2 linked regions of the Oreochromis niloticus genome follow. The protein of the gene in region 1 interacts with the protein of each later gene in a pairwise test. Links are inferred from orthologs where the notes say so. Each region holds a gene or a part of one and is shown on either strand. Other genes may lie near its edges. The genes, in order: rad54b and ribc2.

Region 1 (11,237 bases):
TGATGCAGTCCAAGGTCAGACTCCGGGTCCCACCCTTGCGCCCTCCCTCACCCAGCTGTGGTGATGGGGGTGGGCCTGATGCATGTGAAGCCTGGGCTGAATGCAGTGATAGACTGGAGGCATGTGAAGAAGCCTCTCTCTGTTGCTGTCTGGTTGGCTCGGTGTGGAGTTCCCAGCCTGATGTCTGTGCCTCTCCCTGATGCTGGTCCCTGGCTGCCTGTTCAGTGGGATTCTGGCTCCTGGTGGGCTGCAGGTCTCTGAGGAGCTCTAGCAGTTCTCTCTTTTCCAGCTCTGCCTCTGCCAGCTCTTGTCTCCTCAAACGCTCTGCACCTAGCAGCGCACGCATGTCACACATCACACGGGATAGCTGACCCTGCACAGACAGGATATGACGTGAAGCAATAGAGTAGTTTTACGTGTGATGCCAATTTCAGCCAGGCTTTAGCTCCTGGACAGATGTCCTCGCATTTGACTCTAGAACACTTTGGTTTACAGAGGAGTTCATGGTTAACTCAATGATTACAAGGTACATTCCAGTGAATACAAATCCAGCCCAAATTCACCACCACCACCACCACCACCATTGTGCTTCATAGTTAGTGTGACATGCTTGTGCTGATATGCTATGTTTGAGTTCCTCCAAATATTCATCTCATCTGTCCAGATTACATCGTCCCAGAACTCTTTGTTCAAACTTAAGCTGTGCTGCCATTTTTAAAGAGAAGATGCTTTCGCCTGCAACCCTTCCAAACACGCCATACTTAATTGTGCTGTCATGAACTTCAACTTTTAATAAGCTGCAGCATGTAGAGTCTGAGATGTAGTTTGAGGGGGTTTCTTTTGTTGTTGTTTTTACAGTTTCTCTCAGCACTGCACAGTCTGACACTGGGATATCCACTCCTGGGAAAACTGGCAACTGTCTTGAGTGTTTTCTGCTCATAAGTAATTTTCCTTGCTCTATAATTGTGGACTTCAAACTGTTTGGAAATTACCGTATAACCTTTCCCAGATTGTTTAATATCATTACTGATGTTATTCCCCATTGGCATTGTGTTAACACACATCTTATGTATGCTCCAAAACAGCAAACTGCCTGCTTCATTTAGAGATTTTCATGCCAATTAAGTGCATTTGATTATCTGCATGTGGCTTCATTTCCCTCTTAAATCCTGTGGATCCAGTAAAACTGTACATACACTGCTTCTGCATTTTGGCTTAGTTTTGTTATGTGATATGTCATTTAGCTGTGTAGTTCACCTAAGGTTGTATCTATTAACCTGCTATGGACCAGATTATTTTTGAAATGACCGATATGTGAATCCTCAGAAGAGGGTGTACATTTTACTACTGTGATTTTATGTGCATAAAAAAAGATCCATAAACTGCCTCCATTTATAGGCCTGAGCTCAGTCCAGACTTGTAAAAACATTTTGCTTTCAAACTTTCAGGATTTTTTCTACAACTGTTTAAATGATTTACAAAACACTACATTGTACTTTCATAGTAAATGTATCCCAAGGTCATAAATCTGCGCTTTAGTACTACTCATATAGTAAATCTGTTGCATTTATGTGGTAACATGGCATTTCACCTTGAGCTCCTCCACCTCGTTCTTCAGCTGAGACTCTTTCTGCACCATGTGTCTCCTCTGCGAGTCCAGCCGAGACTCCATCTCTCTTCTCACCTCTTCCACCTTGCACAGCATCTCCACCCTACAGTCGACATTTAATGAGACCACATTATGGTGGTGGTGTTACCTCTGAGTTTAGGCTTAGGAGACAGCACTGAGCTTACCTGAGCATCTCCACCTCAGTGCGCAGCTCCGCTACACAGTTATGTTGTGACTGGTCGATGGAGAGCAGCGTGTGGCCGCAACCATTGGGACACTCCCTGCTGCGAAAGCTACATTCTGACAGGTGAGCCTCCAAGCCCCGCCTCTCGACCTGCACGGGACAGCCTGAGAGGGAAAAGTCACAAGGGTGCAAATGCCTTGCATGGAGCCACCAGGTTATCAGTGTATAAGACAGGCTTCTAAAGCATCTTCACAAAGATGAAATTTATTTGCAGGCATGAATTTTTCCATAAAAATCATCTGTGTGTACGAGGAGGAGATAATCTACTAACACCACCAAAAATGTACTTTGTAAACACTTTGTGTATCCAAAGTAGAGTTATTAAATCTACAGTGTAGTCACAGATCACTGCAGTCACACAACAGCAGAAATTTCAGGTGATTTTAGTGACTTAAACTGCACAACGCATGCACACACACCGCATGTGATTCAACCTACCACAGTGGTAACATATGTACTCTCCACCTGCCAAAGACAGGTCACAGACACATGGTGAGCACAAAAGCGCACACTTGCACGTACATGTCTCAAACAGACCTTAAAATCCCTCATTAAAGAATGAATGAACGCCGACCCTCACACAGTGCTCTCTGTGTGAGGCTTGTGGGAGCTTTCAGTCCCAAAAGTGCACCTGTTCCTGGGGTAGCCAAGACAACAACAGGGCCCACCTGTTGTCCACCCCCACAGACGTTTCACATTACAGTTGTAACATACACATCCATGAGGATAGCAGTTTGACTTTTACTGTCATAAAGACTCATAAAAACACATTGCATGAATAGTGTTTTGTCCGGTGTGATGTTGTCATGTACCTGTGTTAGCGCAGGATATGAAGGCAAACTCGCACTCGTCCTCGTGTGAGTGGAGGCTCTCCAGGGAGCAGACCACCTCACACCCCTGTGCTGCATTCACACAGCGGATCTGCAGACGGTTCAGATCATTACGCATGTACCTGCAATCAAACCAACACAGACAGAAACTCTTACAGTGAGAAAAGCAGGATACTGTTATAATGCTACTGACTTGCATAAACTTATCTGCAAAACTTAAGAGTGCATGATTACGAGGAAGTGAAGGAAGCAGCACAACTGCAGGAGACGGAGACTGACCTGTACAGTGGTTTGAGGCTACCCACATCCAGTGGCAGTCTGTCCTCAGGACAGGAGTGGTGATGGACCAGCCAGGTGCTGATGCAGGAGCTGCAGTAAGCATGTTCGCAGGGTGCCTGGAGGGGGCGCTCCAGCACGTCTCGACACACACAGCACAGTAGACCCTCATTCACGTAACCTACAAACCTCTCCAGATCATAGCCCATCCTAATAAAAAAAAAAAAAAAAAAGTTAAACAGATTAAACAACACATGAGGAAAGCAGGAAGCAGTCTTGTTTCCTCATTTGTTTATTTTCTTTTTATCTTACCTCAGATGTCAACTTTCACTTCAACCAACTCCTTCTTCCTTCTTTCTGCAGGTTTTGACTCCACTTGTTCCTCCACGGGCAACCTGCCGTCCTATCTCTGCCACATCCTCGCTCTTAACACCATCAAGGTGAGGGTCTCCTCTCCTTTGAAGCCCTCCCCTACCTTTGAGAGTGCGTCTCTGTGGAGAGGTAACCCTGACAACAAGGGTTCAGGACACAGGAAGGCAGCTGTCAGACGGGACCAGATCAGATGAGAGAGACAGGCCGAATTACAGTAAAACACTGAACACTGAGTCTAAAGCAGACAAATTCTGCAGCAGTGTTGTTGTCTAGCTATTAAAAACCTGTGTTGCTGTTGTGAAGCATTCAGAGATTACTGCTGTCCTTCAGCTGTTTTTCTCTCTCTTAATGACCCACCCGATCCTAGGTTTCTCTCTCTCACTCTCTCTCTCTCTGAATGTGGGATTAAGATGGATTACACTCTCTCCCTCCATGATTGGATTACAGACTCAATATCAGATGGCCCAAGAATGGATGATCACAAAAATCAAAGAGCACCCCAAATGCCTGGACTCATCATCCTGTTCTCTTTATATCCTCTCAGTAAGACTTATAATCACACAAATAGTAATTCAAAATGACCCCGTACCAAGTAAAGCTCTCTTATGCATACATCCTCTGAAAAAGTATTTCCCCCTTCCTGGTTTCTTAGTTTTTTGTGTATTTTCACACTTAAATCTTTCAGATCATCAAACTAATTTTAATGTTAGACAAAGATCAATGCAAAATACAATTTAGATGATTTTATTTATTAATAAAAAAGCCATCCAAACCTACCTGACCCTATGTGAAAAAGTTATTGCCCCCTTTATTAAATCATGAATTAGCTTTGATTAACCACACCCGGGCCTGATTACTGTCAGACCTGAATCAATAAATCATTTAAACAGAACCTGTCTGACAAAGTGAAGTTGGGTGAAAGAGCTCAAATAGTAACACATCATGTCACCGTCTAAAGAAACCATGAACAGATGAGAAACAAAGTTTCATCTATCATCCTCGAAAGGGTTACAAAGTCATTTCTAAGACTTTGGGATGCCAGTGAACCATAGTGAAAGTCATTATACATACAGTAAATGGAGAAATCTTGATGATCCTCAAGACAAAAGTTTAACTTTCTGGAAGGTTTGAGTCTGGTTACTTCTGCATAAAATTAACTGCATAAAACTAACACTTCATTAAAAAGCATCATATCAACAGTCAAACATGGTGGTGATAGTGTAATGGTCTGGGGCTGCTTTCCTGCTTTAGGACCTGGATGATTTGCTGTAATTGATGGAACCATAAATTCTACTCTCTACCAGAAAATCCTGAAGGAGAATGTCCGTTCTTACCCTGAAGCTCAACCTCACTTGAATTATGCAGAAAGGTTTGGAGGTTTGGATAGGTTTTTCTCCCCCTTAATAAAGGTCCTGTCAGTATTATCATTTAATATCAGTATTAATAATTAATATTATTAAATATCAGTATAATTAAGTATTAGTGAAAATAACTTAATACAACTACTATATAAGTATTACTTTCAGGTACCCTCAAATTGAGTAATTTGCGGTAAATTTTGAGAAGTTGACACGTTTGCCTTAGCCTTGCAAAAAACATGTGAGGCGAGTTTACTGTGGTGGCTGTGCTAGTGAAATAAAATATTACGAACAGCAGCTTACTTAAACGGTTATACCAATATTTATATTTCCCAAATATTCCTCCTTTCACGCTTTCACTGTGATTTAATGAAGGGGTGAAGTGAGTAGTAGGTGAGCTCGATTCACAAGTTATCGATCGACCGGTTGCTGAAATTCAAGCGGGATATAGACTCCATTGAATGTGACGGCCAAACTGTAGGGACAGAAGAACCAAACGTACCCTTTCGTTTTAACCACGCCCATTTGTATTGGTTCGCCCAATCAGATTCTTCAAGCTGTTCAGCGGGAGAAACTGAACCGATGCTAGAGTCACTGAAGAGGAAAGACAAGACGAGTTCTGTTGCAATTGAGTTAAAGGCTGCAATGTCAGGTGTTTTCATCTAACTTTTAGCTCGTCGGGGTATGTACAATACGTTGTCACACATTATCTGACTTGATAATGAAGCCTAAATTAGACTTCCAACCGCGTTATTATCATCTTTATGCTAGTGTTAGCTAGCTGGCTGTGTAACAGGTTCATGTTGCTATCGAGAAATTATCGTGATATGCCGATTATTCCAGTATAAGCAGGAATTGAGGACGCGAAAAAGCTAGAAAGCCATCAGAGGGATAGTGACCCGAAGGATTTATGTATGATAAAAAAAGGATTGAGTGAGTTATGTTCGTCTCGATATGCACAGTTTACCCAGTGCAGAATTTACATATGCAAATAATCCAAGTTTTCATTTTTTTGCTATTAATAGAGACAAATCATTAGCTAGATGTGTTTAAATAATGCTAAAGGACTGTGACATTAAAAGGAAAAGTGTTGGAGTTGGATTTGTTTTGAGCTAACGAGATAGTTTTTGCTACATGCCTCCTACGAAGTTATTAAAGTGAGTACCTTTGAGGAAGGTGTTTTTTTTTCTTTTTTCTTTTTTTCCCCTGATATTAAACCGTTTGTAATAAGCGGTAATCATGCAGTAACGCCTCAAGGCAAGTCCAGGTGTTTGTTGGGATTTTGTGTCAACCAAATGTTACTGTATTTGCATAAAACGTAATGCATGAAATTTACTATATTAGTGTGCATAAATTCCCCTTATAGTTTGTGAGGAGGTAAAACTGATCACTGATCAGAAATATACACAAAAGAAGAGAAAAGCAGTCAGGAGGAAGCTACCCATCTTCTAGCTTTATATTAGTGTTTTATTACCGGATGAAACACTGACTTACAGGAGAATGAAACCCACAGTGCAAAAAATACATTTCACGATACTGAATCATATCTCAAGAGGGTTGAAAATTTTGATTTCAGAATGTGCTGTTTTCTGAGTCACTGATTAAACCGGTGCAATAATGTGCTAAGAAAAATAATATAATGGCAGTTATTAATCTGCTTGTATCGGTTGCTTTTTGTCTTTAGGAAAAAGAAAGATGCGGCGCTCTGGAGCTCCCAGCAAGCTCTTGGGTAATGCAGTGAAAAAGCCTCGATTTGTGCCACCTGGTGCATGTACTTCACTTTCTGTGGCTGAATCCAAGCCTCTGACCCCCAAACTTGGTTTAGGCAATGCACTGGATAAAGTAAGTTTTTTTTCTCAACATTTTTCCTACAGTCTTAAACCCTCAGTATTTGTCATCCTAATTTGATTATTTTCCATTATTTTTTTATCACACTCCCTTATATTAGGAATTCTCTTTTGTCCTTACCTCATTTCGCAGGTCCAGAGAAGCCTTGCAACACCAGGTGCAAGTAAAACAGAGTTTAACGTCCAGCCCGAAGCTGCCCCAGCCTTGTCAAAGGTTCTGGCTCGTGTTCTCAGTGCAACTGAGAGTAAGGAAAATGAGGCTGAGACAAAGCATCAGAACCCTGGATTAGGAGCCTCTGCCGAAGACTATAAACCAGCAGGTAAAAAACAAACAGCCATGTAAAGCCTTGTCTTTTTCTTGCCCCATCTTCTCACTTCTTATGTCCAATTTAATAATCATAGCAGCAATATAAAAACTCACAAATGTCAGTTGATTCCTGGAGGGAGATTCTCATAGTTTCAGCAATGTATATCAGGGAATGTGCAAAGACAAATATGGGGACAAATACGTTTGAGAGAGAGAGAGGGAAAAAAAAGACCATAACAAAGAGTGGAAGGCCAGGAGGGAAAGGAGTCTGATGAATCAGATGGACATAACATTGCTCATGATGACTTTTATATTTCTTTTAATTAAACGTAGTTATTTTTTTAAATCACACCCACAAATAGTGAAGGGTTGATGGTGTGATCACTGAGTTATTGCTACAACTTAGAGGTAGAGTTTCAGATAGAATTCTTCCTGTACCATGATTTAAATATTCCAGCTGTGCCTTGCACCATTTTTCTTGACTGAAAAGACTTCTGTGAAGAGTACACCTGTGTGTCTTTGTTCAAAGTTAATCCAGCAAGCATTCCCCTCTCCTTAAGGAGATGAGGAGATGCAATGTTTGAAAATGAGAAACGCTTCAAGATTTCCACCAGAAAACAAAATCATGGTTCCATTACAAGCTGTTATTTAAGCTGGATAGCTCCTAAATCAAAACAAGACTTCCAATTAGTTTTTAATTAAATGCAGGTGAGATTAAAAGCTAAACCAATTAACCCTGTGTGTTACAATGACAAAGACAGTGCAAGCCTCAGCATGCAGCATACCTGATGCCTCATTAGGTCTAGGTAGTTTAGTCATGAAGGTTCTACTGAAATAGCCGTTTCTGTTTCATTAGCTCTCAAGTGACCAAGCTGTGGGCTCCGTTATATTTTATACATTAATACTTTTTAATGGGACTATTCTTGTTTTTGATCATTTTACTTTATTTATGACATATATTCTAAAATGTGGTTAATTATGGTTTTCAATCGTTTTTATGTAGAAAGAATTTGGGTTAGCCTCAAGGCGTCTACAGCAATAAATCTATGCAAGGTTTCATTTTGCTTTATTGCTAATCATTTTTTTTGCATATTTGTCACACTTACATGTTTGACATCATCAAATACATTTTAACATTAGAAAAACACAACCCAAGTAAATACAAAATGAAGTGGGGGTTTTTTTTATGATGATTTTATTCATTAAGGGGAAAAAGCTGTCTAAACCTACCTGATCCTGTGTGAAAAAAGTAATTGCCCTTGAACTTAATAACTGCTTGTGCCATCCTTGGCAGCAAGAACTGCGATCAAGTGTTTGCGATAAGTAGCAATGAGTCTTTAACATCACTACGGAGGAATTTTGGCCCACTCTTCTTTGCAGAATTACTTTAGTTCAGCCACATTGGAGGGTTTTCCAGCATGAGTGGCCTGTTTAAGGTCATGTCGAAGCCTCTCAAACACATTTAAATCCAGACTTTGACTAGGACACTCCAAAACCGTCTTCTTCTTTTTCTTCTTTTTTTTTCTTTCTTTTTTGAGCCATTTTGAGCTGGTGTGTTTTGGATCAATTTCCTGCTGCAGAACCTGAGCTTAAGCTTCAGGGCTCAAAAGGATGGCCGGACATTCTCCTTCAGGATTTTCTGATAGAGAGCAGAATTCATGGTTCAATTGCAGCAAGTCGTCCATGTAGCCGCAGACCATCAGAGTACTGTACTACCACTTTTGACTGTTCGTACGATGCTCTTTTTATGAAATGCTGTGTTACGTCAGATGTAACGGGATTCAAACCTTCCAGAAGGCTCAACTTTTGTGTTGTCAGTCCACAGAATATTTTCCCAAAAGTCTCGAGGATCATCAAGATGTTTTTCTTTGGCAAATGTGAGACGAGCCTTTGTGATCTCTCTGGTCAGCAGTACTTTTCTCCTTGAACTCTCCTATGGATGCCTTCTCTTTCTTATTGTTGAATCATAAACTCTGACCTTAACTGAGGTGAGTGAGGCCTGCAATTCTTTAGATGCTGTTCTGGGTTCTTTTGTGACCTGCTGGATGACTCGTCAATGCACTCTTGGAGTAATTTTGGTAGACCAGTCACTCCTGGGAAGGTTCACCGCTGTTCAGTTTTCTTCATTTGTGGCCGTCAGCGTGGTTCACTGGAGTCCCAAAGCCAAAGCCTGACTGACAGCTGTGACAGTCAGTGACTTTGTTTCTTAGCTGTTTCTTTAGATCGTAGCATGATGTGTTGCTTTATCTTTGAACCTACTTCACTTTGTCAGACAGGTTTTAGTAACTCAGCAGGTCTGGCAGTAATCAGACCCGGGTGTAGACAGAGAAACTGAACTCAACTTTCTAAAAATTGTGGTTATTCAATTAATTTATGATTTTACAAGGGTGGCAGTTAATTTTTCATGTAGACTCGGATAACTTTTCCCCCTTAATACATTATAATTTAAAAACTACTTTTTGAATTTACTCAGGTTATTTTTGTCTAATATTTAAATTTGTTTGATGATCTGAAACATGTAAATGTGACAAATATGCAAAAGATGAGGAAGGGGGACAGATGTTGACACACTACTGCAATTTTTTTGCCTCGGGCAAAAAGCATCATGTATATTAATGTGTACATACAGAATAATACTGATTCTGTTGCCTTTTTAAAAGAAAGACAGAGATGATACAAACACTGTCACCTTGAACACAAAGCTCTGCTGTATCTTGAGCCACACCATCCACTTTGCATTCACAGCCACCCACAGTCCATATCAGTACATAAGAAGAAATAATAAATAGTAAATAAACAACACAAAAATGTGCAGTGACTAGAACACAAACCGGAAATTCCTCCAGGATTTCTACAAACAATATAATTATAATAATATACAAGATAATATATCATGTTTCTAAACCCTGACCCATAAAATAACTTTCCAACTTTTTAAAAATGTAGCATTTAATGACCCTTCTGACAAAAAAATTATGACGATGACGTTACTAATCACAAATATTTGGCTTGAGGTTGTCGGTCCTAAATGGATCATTCAGGATGTGAAGCTTTTTCATGTTTGCTGTGTAAAATGAGGTACGGCTGGCCCAAAAGAGAATTTACAGCTACTGGCCTGTCCATGTAATTTATAACACTGTGTTATAAATTACATGGACATCATCATCATCACCACCACAGTAGCGATTATTCCTCATAATATGCCCCACACGTACCAACCACTGCTGTTTAAATTCACTGTTATATTGGAAAGTCTAACTCGACCAAACCCCGTGCAGAGGCTGCAAGCAGACACTATAGTGAGATATAACGTTTATATAAATAGCATTCCGCTCTGTCTAATAATAACACACACACACACGCGCACACACAGGATAGATGTTAAACCGGGCGGGCGAAGGCTGAGTGACAGCAGGTCCAGCATTATGCAAATTAGCGGCCAGATTCGGACTGTGCTCGGGATCAGCGTCTCCTTCTCCTCCCCTTCCTCCTGTCGGAGCAGCCAGTGCCTCCGTTTTCCTTCCTGAGAACGCGCGGCGCGGGCACGCTTTTCTGACTGTGTTTTCGCACGCGCCCCACACACGTATTTAATCGACGGAGTCGCCGCGTGCGCTGCGGAGCTGGCGTTCCCCGTCTGCATTCAATCTACGCTGAAGCACGGCCAGAAGCGCGGGTTCCACGGACATGCGCAGCGCGCTCACAAACCCCTCCCCCCCGGTTCAGTTAGTTAAGCCGGCGCTGATTCAAAGCATCACTCACTTCAGGACGTTAGACATGTGACACTTTAACACCTTACAGTGTGCTGTTTGCAAACTGTTGTGGCACATGTGCGGAGGGCAGTGTCCCTCTGCAGCATTCCCTTTGTCACACTGTAGAGCCGGTGTGTCTCTGCTGTGCTCTGTGCTGTGCTCGGTTTGGGGTTTAGAGAGACCGAGCTGTAAGTAGGTCGGGCTGGGCTTAAGCGGCTTAGCTACGTCAGCCTAAGCTGGGAGGAATTCATCCAAAGCCCTCCGCGGTAGGCGGGGGCCTAAACGAGGCTGGCCTAGTTAAGCCTGATTCTTATTGTGTGCAGCACAGCCTGTTTTTGTTGTGCAACGTAGCTGAGAGGGAGTCCAGGAGTAGTGTGAGAATCCATGCACTTGTTAGACATAGCCTATGTTTGATTTGGAGAGGAAGAAGACAAAGGGGGGAAATGTGACATGTATCTGAGTTAGACCAGTGTTGGTGTGTCACCGTGGACCAGGAGAAGAGAGCGGCGGGGACTGAAAAAAAGACAGGTGGGAAGAGTGAGGAGCCCACACCACTGAGTGTGGTTACTAAAGGGTGACAGCCATAGGCCAGACTTGGTCTGCGTGAGCCCAGTATGCTAGAAGATGGCATCCAGCTCTGTGTTT
Region 2 (11,622 bases), on another chromosome or scaffold:
CATCCCCTGTGGTCTGAAACACTGTTGTCTGTGTCATTTGTTTGACTTTTTTACATCTTAATCACATTTTGACCTTTGTCTCTTTTATCTTTTTTTAAGTACTCATATTATCGTGGAACGGGTGAGCTCTACATTGGCGGGATCAAGTCACATAAGTACAGTGACAATAAATGTTTAGCTGACACAGGCACAGAAGAAACTGCGCCTGGCCTGTACAACTGTAAGGAGGCTATGCAGAAAGGCATGGGGATATACTGGGACTTCACTCAGGTACTACATAATGAAGTTTTTCAATTCAGGTTTGTAAAACTCATGACATGTGGAACCGGTTTTAAATGAGTTTATCACACGTTGTTCTCTATTCCAGGGCAAAGAACTGAAGAACAGACAGACAAAGAGATGCCTGGAAATTATAAACCAGAAACTTCTAATACAGGAATGTACAGGTCAAAGATGGCAAAGTCAAAACATAGTCAAACCCTTTTAAAGTGTGTTTGAGCTCTGCTGATAGCCCAGTGTGTTACATCTGAATGCCCTTGGGGACATTAAATGTATTTGTTATTAAATGTATGGGATAAAATGTATTTTCTTTTCAATATTATTCATGTCACTTTTTTGATAAAGTTTTATAATGCAGGTTATTTAGAAGTAATACCCTAAAATTTTGTACAAAACATTTTCAGTTTACAGTAGAACTGCAAACGTTGAGGCTTTCACAATTTTTTAAACAAATGTCTGACTAGAGGTGACTTAAATGGCACTTCATTTGCTTACAAAACCATCTGTCATTTAGCTTATAAGCACACATTGTGCAACAATGTTAATTCTATTTTCCTCAAGGACACCTTTACATATTCTGTAAAAGTACACATTAAAGTCAACAAGTTAAATCATTTTATCTTCAAAAGTTAATGTGCTTTATATATCATATTTTATTTACTTTCCCTTTATACAAAATAAAACAAAAGAATAAAAAACAAAAACAACTACCACAACAACAACAAAGAGAAAAAAAAGTAACACAATAAGCAGTCTGAGACATGTAAACGGAAAACTAATACAGTATATATGATTCGGTCTACCAGTCATTTACACATTTGTCCTGACAAACTCAACCCGCCACTGGAGTGGGGCTGCCCCTCTCACTATGGTTTTCTTCAGACCATCAGGTAAGTAATCCAATAGCGGGTGCCATATATCCAAAAGAATATCATCATTGCCACTTAATTTTGCACTCAGTCTTTCCATTGGTAAACTCTAAAGATTTCTTTATACCACTGAGTTATTGTTGGTGGTTTTTCATTAATCCAATTGAAAAGAATACATTTTCTTGCCAAAAACAATAATTTCAATAGTAGTTTATATTTGTTTTTATCTGGAAATTTGTTCAGAGTTGGCAGCCCCAATAAATACTGAGCTGGATCTTTTTGTATTCTGCTTTTAAATATACCTTTTAATTCTTTTGTTACACAGAGGCAGAATTTTGAGATTTTTGAGCAAGTCCAAAGACAGTGCACGTAGGACCCCGCCGCAGATTTACATTTAGTACATTGTGCTGACCTGCTTGGATCAATTTTATTCAGAAAAATAGGTGTTCTATACTGTCTATGTAAAATTTTATATTGTATTTCTTTAAATCTGTTACTGAGAAATAAAGAATGCACAGATTGTATGCACTCACTCCAGGCATGATCATCACACTGACACTGGAGGTCACCCTCCCAACTCCTAATCAGTTTTCCAATATTATGTTTGTTATAACCTTGTAGTGCATTGTAAAACTGTCTTATAGTACTATTATCTGCATTTAAGTGTAAAAAGAAATTTTCCATGGGTCCTAGTTGCATTGTATTGTGCAAAGTATCAAAACTTGAAGTAATTAAGTGACAAGCCTGTAAAAATGCAGAAAATTCCATTTGATGTATTCCATATTTCTTTTGGACCTGCTCAAAAGACATACAAACATTCCCATTAAACAGATCACCCACCACACGTATTCCTGCACCAAACCATCTCTGAAATACTGCACTTTTCATTCCCAGTGTAAAGTGCAGATTATTTATAAAAGGTGTTAGATAACTCAGTATAGGATTACTTTCAGTGTATTTATTCATATCACACCATGTTTTTAAGTAAGTATCAATCATTACTTTGTTATGTTTTTTAATATATTTACTCACTATTTCGGTTAGGAGATTAAATGGCGAACATGTCCAGGCTTCTAGGAGATTCTCTGTCTCTTTTAGATATGCGTGGATCCATTCATGTATAACTCTACTATGGCATGACCAGTTATACAGCAAAATGTTAGGAAAGGCAAGACCCCCTTTATCTTTGGGCAGCGGTAACGTTTTCATACTTAATCTGGGTTTCTTACCCCTCCAAATAAACCTTGACATATCTATTTCAATTTCTTTTACAATTTTTTTGGTCAGTGTTATCGGGAGCATTTGTAAAGGATATAAAAACTGTGGCAACACATTCATTTTAATTAAATTTATTCTCCCCATCCAAGAGACCAGGAGATCCATCCATCTAGCAAGATCTCTTTTGACGCTTTTATGAACTATGTCTATGTTCTGTTTCAATATACTTTTTATATTAGGTGAAATGTGTATCCCCAAGTACTTAAATCCAGAACCCGACCAGGTAAATGGGATATTGCATGTCATAGGCAAATTTCCCAGTGGCATAGCAATAGTTTTGTTCATATTAACCTTATACCCGGACAAATATCCAAAAGTTTCTATAGTAGATAATACAGAGGGTATAGAATCCTGGGGATTGGTGACAAACAGCAGAACATCGTCTGCGTATAGTAAAATTTTAAATTCAAATCCTTGAATTTGGTATCCAGATATATTTTGATTATTTCTAATGGCCTCTGCCAGTGGTTCAATTACTAAAGCGAAAATTAATGGGGAAATCGGGTCCCCCCTGTCTTGTTGATCTCTGTAAACAGAATTCTGATGATTTAATACCATGAACTACAACACATGCTCTTGGGGTGACATATAACAATCTGATCATGTCTATAAAGCCCCTGCCCAAGCCAAATTTCTCCATCAAAAGTTAATGTGCTGGAAACAGGAAAAAGGACAAGCGCAAGAATTTGAGAGATTTTCACAAGGACCAAATTGGGATGGCTGGACGACTGGGTCAGAGCATCTCAAACCTGCAGCTTTTGTAGGCTGTTCCCAGTCTGCAGTGGTCAGTATCTACCAAAAGTGGTCCAAAGGAGGAACAGTGGTGAACCAGGGTCCAAAGCTCATGGTCAGAAAATGCTGGCCTGTGTTGTCATGTCCAATAGACGAGCTACTGTAGCTTAAATTGGTGAAAAAGTTCATGCTTGTTTTGGTTCTAAAACTAATGAAGAGGCATCTTTTAGCCATTATGCTCCAAGTTTAGGACGAGTCTACCTGATAACCCACGTGCTGCTGACACTGTTGAGATTTTTAGAACCAAACTCAAGTATTTTCTTTTTAGTTTGGGTTGTGTCTATTTTCATTGCATTATTTGTTTACATGTTTATTCCCCTCTTTCATCTTACTTGCCTTTATATTCACCTTTTACTTTTTCCCCTCCAGCATTTCCAAATGACAAGGTGGTGTCTAATGTCCAGGCAGGGCTGTAGGATTGAAGGAGTGATGAGATGGTGTAGTGAAGGGACATGTGTGTAGTTTTATTTTCTGCTTTTTATGAATAGAGCACTTTGAACTGCATCCTTATTGTCTGAAAAGTCCTGTATGAATAACATATTGACTGACTGAAAGGTTTCAGCATCAAATGCTGCGTATGTTTGTGTAGCTGTAGACAAGTCCATGCTGTCCAAACTGACCCCCATCTATTGCCAAATCCAATGCAATGGAAAAAGCTGGCCTGGTCTGATGAATAATACTTTCTTTAACATCACGTGGATGGCTGGAGCGTGTGTCGCTTAGCTGGGGAATGCATGGTACTAGGTTGCACTTTGGGAAGAAGCCAAGCCGGCAGAGGGAGTCAGCGTAATCGTTGGGCAATGTTCTATTGGGAAACATTGGCCATCCATGTGGATGTTATACTTTGACACATCACCTACCTACACTGTTTCAGAACATGCCTACCATTTCATGCAAATGGCATTTCCTCATGGCAATGCCAACAGGAACTTTCCTTTCACATGTTAAGACTTTATTTCTTGCTCTGTGGCATCTCTTATGTTAATTTTAGATTTAGACATGATTGATTTTTAGGATTGTCCGACTGGTTTGTGTCAGCACAACAGAAAAGCACACTTGAATCAGATGTTCTAATAATATCCAAGTTGGTGGCACAATAGCATTAAAAAACAATTTGTTAAACTGGATATACTGTACGATTATTGAAAATGCATGATTGTGGACATCCTTGTGTAGGAAATAGACCCAACACAAGATGAAAGATTTCCTATTAAAACTTTACCAACAACTTAAGCAACCAATGTCATCATGTCCAAAAACACATTATAGAGTCAGCAGATGCTTGCTAATTGAGGGAAATGTTTACTTAACCGAAAAGATGAAGTTTGGGATCCCTGTCAATAGAAAAATGTGCCAGCGTCACTACAATAAATGAGCCAAATACAGGCTGCATACCTTCTGCGTATGGCAGCATGAGGGTATAAAAAGAGTGATTCAGTACTTTGTTCTTTAAACTCACTGTTCTCACGATAGCTAGGGCAGCCAAAATTTGCCAACAACGCCACCTTGGGAATTCCACCCAAATAAATGAGTAGAAACACCAGTAAGGTACACAGATTTGTTCCTCTAGTATGAGGCAGAAGACCAGAGTTCACAATTCAAACTTTGAATTTTATTACACAAGGAAAAACATCGTTTTAAAACTGTACACATTCAATCATACTGGAAAAGGGAGTTTGTGTTCAGGACTGAGACTTACCAGCAGATGATGATGATCACTGAGTACTAGAAAGGGCAGCTTATACATACCTGACCTGCTAAACAACTCTCACCTGGACGGGAGAGGAGCACCTCCCGACCCAGGTGACGCAACATGCCAATGATTTCTACCATGTAAATAGCCCACGTCAGAATAGTTTAGGTCCAAAACTAACAATAGTGCTAACAACGCGTTACATACCTCTTCTATTGTATTGTGCGCACCTGAGAAAGAGTGGTAAATGCCCCACCCCAACAGCAACAGGAGATGTGACAGCAAAAGGCCTCTAAGTGGGAAACCAAGTTAAATTAAGCAGACAAAACATCCTTCGTCTGTGCAACGGGCACAACATGTGTACGGCGTCAATGCACCTTAAAACATGCAGCCCACCAAACAGCGAGCGACAACAGATGATTGAGGTGATAGAGCCTCATTATACAGACACAGCGCCCCTGCTGGAAATAGGTCAGCATATTCAAAACAGGCATGCTTGCTCATAGATAGCTAATGAGTACCAGAATGTTACTGGAGATGCACTTTTTACTTTCTCATCTCAACTGTTTTCCCACCAAACCACGGAGATGACTTCGATGAGCATGGGGAAATGTATCATCAAGATACAAAAGTGATGGAAAACCAAAAAACACACACACACATAAAACATATTAAGGATTGTAAAACATAAAACTGTTGTTGGAACCACACACATATATGAAGAGAGAGAGTATGCATAGCATGCAAATGGCTACCAAACAGCCATCATAATTCGTCATACAATGAGAACCGGACAAATCAAGAATTGACAATGACTAATTAATATTGTGCTGAACACAGTCCAAAAGATTCAGTCAGCTACATCAGTGCCTACTGTTTACTATCATAGCCAAGTGGCTAACAAACGTAAACAGACGTTTTCACTATCCCTACTAATTAATGTTATCCTGTTGTATCTCTGTTGTGGTCAGTGCCATCCTCTATGGTGTTGCATGCTGGGGCAGCAGGTTGAGGGTCACAGATACCAACAGACTAAATTAACTGATCCACAAGGCCAGTAATGTTGTGGGGATGGAGCTGGACTCCGTTAGGGTGGTGTCTGAGAGGCGAATGTTGTCCAAGATAAAGACAATGCTGGATAATACCTCCCACCCACTCCATGATATGCTGGCTAGCCACAGGAGGATGTTCAGTGAGAGACTGAGATTACCCATAATGCACCACTGAACGACACAGGAAATCATTCCTGCCCGTGGCCATCTCCCTGTACAACTCCTCCATCTAACACACTGTGAACACTGCAATAGTTACACCCTTTTTACACACGCTCTTTTCTACTCTGTAATATTCTTGTCAATTTTCTTGATAGTTATTTATAATCACCTCTGTTAATTCTTGATATTTATAATTGAGTGACCTGTATATATTAGTGCTATTTCTTAAGTGTGTAAAATCTGTAACATAATGTATTGTTTGGAGTTTAGTCTGTTACTGTTACTATTTTTACAATTTCTTCTTGGAGCAACTGTAACCCACACAATTTCCTTAGGGATTAATAAAGTATTCTGAATATGATTCTGATTGTTTCAGGATGACCTGCCATTATCCAATGACACATCTGCTTACCGGTTGCTCGTTTCTCCTCCTCTTCTTTTCTCTTTTTTCTAAACTGAGCACCTGATGGCTTTGAACTTTTCTAGTCCAACTTCCATTGGTTTTAATTTTGCACTCCAGTATGAACACCCATCCCCCAACCCGAGGATCACCACAACATAACCTAACAGACCTACACCTTAGCTCACAGATTCACTTTGTCTAGGTTTTATTTCTGGGATTTCGCACAACCCAGGATTCATTTTAAATTGTCATTGATCCCTTTACCCCTCGTCCTAAAGTGTATATTTATTTTCTTACTCTTCTTATATTTATTGTTTGTTTACTTGCACTGCTGTAACTGGAGCCTCGTCGTCTCGTCTCTCTATATACTGGACTGTATATATCGGAGATGACAATAAAGTTTACTTTGACTTCAGCAGCAGGCGCACCGAGGGCTCTCGCGCTCAGTTTTCGTGTATAGAATTTCGAAAAAACATCGGTGCAGAATATAAGTCTGTATCATAATGTCTGGTGTTTTCGTGTTTGTTTTTATTTTGTTTTATTTTGCGAGTTGGTTATTAGATGCTGCTCCAGCCAGCCAGAGAATCCCCCGCCGCCCCGCCCTCTCCTCTCTGCGCCGCAAGCATCAGGCGCACCTCGCAAACGGAGGGCGCCCTTACTCCCAGCAAATGGGCGATAGAAAACCGATTGGTGCCCATGCCATCCCCAAACTGCGCTGGCATGATGTCGGGGTAGCATGAGTAAATTTTTTTTTTTTTTTTTTTTGCCGATGCCCGTGATGCCGCCCCCACCACGATGCCGCCCCGGGCAACCGCCCGTGTCGCCCGTATCAAAAACCGCTACTGGTTGCGTGTCCCTCAAACATCTTTTCTTTAGAGCTGAAGTGGCAGAAATGCGCTTTAACGCAGAATAGAGACATCAAAACTAAAATGCTTGGAGATGGGAGTTAAAATTCTAGCAGCAGAAAAGGGATCGGTTGGATGGTTTGGTGATGTGGATCTCAAAAACATGACGAGCAAATATGAGTTGGATTGCAAATCTGAAATCAGTGTTGTTGTTGTTTTAAAATAAAAAAAGATAGTTTGTTTTTTTTAATAACCCAGGCCAGTGTTAGTTATTGTTCTGCCATTTTTAATACAGGTCCAAGATTTAATGCCTATCAGTAGGTGGACTCTCGACACCATCCGCGTTGCGACTGGTGTGCTTTCATTGGCTGAAATGTTTCGATCCGAGGCGTCTGGGGTGAATGCTCCGGAAAAAGCCGACGTCGTACGAGGGCTCGCGAACACTCTGGTGTCTTAGCAACCAGTGTGTTTGAACTCCAAGTTTCAGACGGGAGCAAATCCTCAACTAAATGGTAGCCACCGCTGTGAGCCAAAATGCGTAAAACTGAACTACTTTCAATGCGCCTCGCCAGAGCAAGTCTGGAGAAGCGTCACAACATAGAGACTGAAAGAAAAGAAAGAATTTTTAATGAGAAACTGAGGACGATTGGGGTACGTGTGGGTCTGAATTAAACAGAAGTGGAAAGTCTGTGGCAGAGGAGGTTAACGCATTGAGTTTGTCTCTAAATGACTGTTCTACAGGTTGACAAGGAAGCCCTAGATGAGCAGGTGAAAGAGAAAAGGGAACAAGTAGAAGCTGCAAAAAAGGAACAAAACGCCTATGGTGAGTTACTTCAAATTTGTTTCCTGATGTGTGTCATACAATCCTTTATTAAAGTGAACTGTGGTATATGTGTGTGGCATGTGATCGTCATGCAGATGCTGATATGCTCCATTATGGCAAAGTAGCTTGCATTCTCGACAGCCGCCAAATGAAGGAGAAGCGTGCACTGGAAAAAGCCATTGTTGCCTACAGGCAGAAGTACCAGCAGCCTGAAGATCGACAGGAGTATGATCTGAATGATCCCGGCCGTGTTAAAAAAATAGAGCAGAATGATGCACAGATGATGCCTCCTGGCCTGGTGGGTGAAGACCCAGAAAGTAAGGTCAGGCTGCAGAACCAGAGGGAACAGCTCAGAGAGTGGCTCACCCAGCAGCAGACTGAGCAGGCGGTGGAAAGGCATCGACAACAGCTGGAAGGTGGGTTTTGCCTTAAGACCATGCTTAATACACATGCTCAGTTCAAACACAAAAGGCAAGCTCCCGTCATATTTTCTACTGAAATTTTTAGAGCAGCGTTATGACCAAAGCAGAGTAGAAATGGACAACAGAGTTGTGCAACTTCAGAGCCTTGAGATAGAAAGGAGAAAGGCAGCTGCCATCGCCACTAAAGACTTCAATCGGTCTATGGTGAGTGAGAGGAATTTAACTGCATTAAACGCTGCTATAGGCTTCAATAAACATTTTTTATTTCCACCTTATTACTCATGTGTCTCCATGGGAAAAGGCTGAAGAAAAGCGGCGTCAAGACAAGCAAATCAATAGTAGGCAAAGCCAGTTTCAAGGTACCCCGAGTACGGAGGCCGTGCCCGGCCTGAGTCCCAGCAGTGACAGGAGGACACCTCCTGAGAGCCTGCAGCAGATCATTCAAATCCAGAAATATCAAATAGAGGAGAAGAGGGTAAAAAAAAAAAAATTATATCTGCACTCAAACAGTATGGATCATTTCAAAGGTAGCCCATATAAAGCATTTTATCTCCTAATGTGTGTGTTGTCTGTGCACGTAAAGAGAAAAGAACTGGAGAAGAAACAAGAAGAAGAGTGGCACGATCGCGTGCGCCTGAACTCAGCTCGTACCACTCTGCTTATTGAGAGGCAGCAGGCACGAATGAACAGGCAGCTGAGGCGAGACCTGGACAGCGCCAACGCCCAGCTGGCCGAAACACACAAACAACAGTAACGTTTGAGCAAAATTGTTTTTATTAAATTTAACACAGTGTACATTGTCTCACTGTTTTTAACAATGTTTCATTTTTAAGGAAACCAGACATTAAAAGAGGACGTATTGATGACAGCTTCTTCTCCAAGTTCAACACCTGCAGCAGATGAGGGGTGATGCACTGCTCTGATACCAGTGATGGTGTTGCATAAAAAGAACAATGAATAAACGGAATATCACAGTGAATAAACAGCTGCTTTTATGTGAAATGTAGTTCAGAACATTCATGTTTGCATGATTTGAAAAATGTTGATTAAATTTCAGATACTGCTTTAAAAAGTAGCCTCTGAAAGATGATTAGTTTTTGTGTTTCAAGTCTTTCGCAGTTTTGCCTCCATAAGCAAATATTAATTACTAGTCAGTTGAAGGCATAAGTGTTAAAATTATATTCAAGTAAAAAATCTTACAGATGTTTAAAAAAAAATGCTTTCTTTAAAGAAAAATGTTCCATCGGTCATATGATTTAAAACACACACACAAAATATATTTTGTGTGATATATATATCAGATATATATTTTATATATCTGATACATATGCCTGGTTTGATGTGCTTTGGCTAATGTTGCCACCTTTTTATGTTAATGCTAATATATGCAACATGTGAGAGAACTACAGAGAGAAATAAAACAGCAGTTAGCATCTCAATCACTTAAAGCTGTGTGACACTGTTACTGTATTTAACATGGCATTGTGAGTCTGTTTTACCTTTTTTAAGGCTTTTTTTTTTCCACAGTAGGCGACATGTTATGACACATAATTATTTCATTCATTACAAAACATTGTGGGAAACAACACTATATTTGTGCCTACCACAAACCTGCTCAGTGGCTATTTCAGCAGTCTTTGACATTTACACTCATGATTCAGCTTCGACTGTCCTACAAAAGGCCCCTTTCACAGCAGAAAGGACTGCTTGTATCATTGTTTGTCATTTTCAAATACACGTTTCCTACTAAAAGGCATTTTCAGAGACAAACTTATCCCATCTTCTCTGCCACAGAGACAGTGCTTTCTCCTTTTGCTCAGGAGTCAAAGAACTATACCTGAAACACAGACACGGGAACATCAGTCACCTTAAAGCATGCTAGCACACACAGTGCAACTACAAGTAACATCTTAGCAGAACCTCACCTGATAGAGTTTATGGCCAGCTGTTTAAGGGAGCCTACATGGGATCGCATGCCCCCAAAACCAACGAACGCTTCATAGAAGTCATAAGAGAGGCCAAACGCACCAAATATGGCGGGGTCATCAGAGCTGATGACAACCGGGTGGTTTTCAGACATCAGTGCAGCAGCTGGATGGTTTCGCAAGTCTTTGACCAACTTCAACACCTGGGTAAGGGTATGTGGAAGGAGAAGATGAGACAAAGGGTTTTAGCCCACTCACACTACAAACAGGAAAATATTACCATCCGTGTACAGTATAGTGGCAGATAGCAGTGTACCTGGTTGGAGATGGGGCACACCTCCACAGCAACCCCATATTTTCTAGACCACTCTTTGGCGACTGGATGGCGTGTTAGTGCAAATCCATGTCCAATGCGTGACGTATTAAAGAGAAGAGCATCCAGTATGTTCTGATCTATTTCTGTACCCTGAGAATCTGCACACAGTAAAGACAAACAAAATGAATATGACTTCCAAATGCTTTTTTGCACTCCCTGGATTAAACATATAGTAAACTTCACATTTGTGCAATTTTATATATGGGGGTTAAAAAACAAACTTATGATTGTTATACTGGTACACTGGAATCATGATCAATTCTCACTTGTCTCTCCAGCATGGAAAAAGAAAGGAAGTGGGACCCCTCTCGCCACAGGGAGCGACAAGGCATCTCTATAATACCACAGAGGTCGCCCTCCATCCTCCCAACCCACCTGTAACGCAAACACAAGTTTTTGTGCGTACTTGTTTTCAACAAATATAGAAGCCATGATACCTTTTCAGTCCATTTGGGATCTTCCAGCATGTTTTGTTTTCAAGATTTCAAACTGTAAAAGTGTCTCTTACCAGATCAAAACCAGCCATGATATCAGGAAAGTCTCTGTAAAGCTTCATAGCCTCCTCCACAACTTTAAGCATTGTGTTAGTGTTTATTGTCCTGAAATACACAGGAACAGAATACTTTATTAATTCCAGTTGCTCCAAGATGGTAAGAACAGTAACTAAATTAAATAAGTTACAAAATATAACAAAATAGCTCCA

The links.
Region 2: the proteins of rad54b (region 1) and ribc2 interact in a two-hybrid assay, tested with the Homo sapiens proteins (2 studies listed by BioGRID and IntAct). The two-hybrid records come from large-scale screens. The link is inferred for Oreochromis niloticus from reciprocal best matches to the Homo sapiens genes RAD54B and RIBC2.

Annotation. Positions count from the first base shown.
Region 1 is NC_031976.2:20,048,505-20,059,741, reverse strand, and holds the start of rad54b (DNA repair and recombination protein RAD54B), read left to right. Parts: upstream 1-5,254; 5' UTR 5,255-5,371; intron 5,372-6,373; 5' UTR 6,374-6,384; coding exon 6,385-6,531; intron 6,532-6,669; coding exon 6,670-6,856; intron 6,857-10,251; exon of another isoform or gene 10,252-11,216; coding exon of another isoform or gene 11,217-11,237. Other genes in the region: rnf41l (RING finger protein 151), read right to left, coding at 1-373, 1,592-1,712, 1,795-1,957, 2,292-2,318, 2,666-2,805, 2,963-3,168; fibrinogen silencer-binding protein, read left to right, coding at 11,217-11,237. UniProt on the Homo sapiens protein: Involved in DNA repair and mitotic recombination. May play an active role in recombination processes in concert with other members of the RAD52 epistasis group.
Region 2 is NC_031972.2:62,002,528-62,014,149, reverse strand, and holds ribc2 (RIB43A-like with coiled-coils protein 2), read left to right. Parts: upstream 1-7,806; 5' UTR 7,807-7,907; coding exon 7,908-8,024; intron 8,025-8,114; coding exon 8,115-8,196; intron 8,197-8,291; coding exon 8,292-8,612; intron 8,613-8,703; coding exon 8,704-8,822; intron 8,823-8,919; coding exon 8,920-9,093; intron 9,094-9,201; coding exon 9,202-9,368; intron 9,369-9,374; exon of another isoform or gene 9,375-9,451; coding exon 9,452-9,521; 3' UTR 9,522-9,705; downstream 9,706-11,622. Other genes in the region: probable polypeptide N-acetylgalactosaminyltransferase 8, read left to right, coding at 100-270, 368-487; ada2a (adenosine deaminase 2-A), read right to left, coding at 10,365-10,455, 10,544-10,746, 10,860-11,017, 11,186-11,294, 11,428-11,518. UniProt on the Homo sapiens protein: Microtubule inner protein (MIP) part of the dynein-decorated doublet microtubules (DMTs) in cilia axoneme, which is required for motile cilia beating.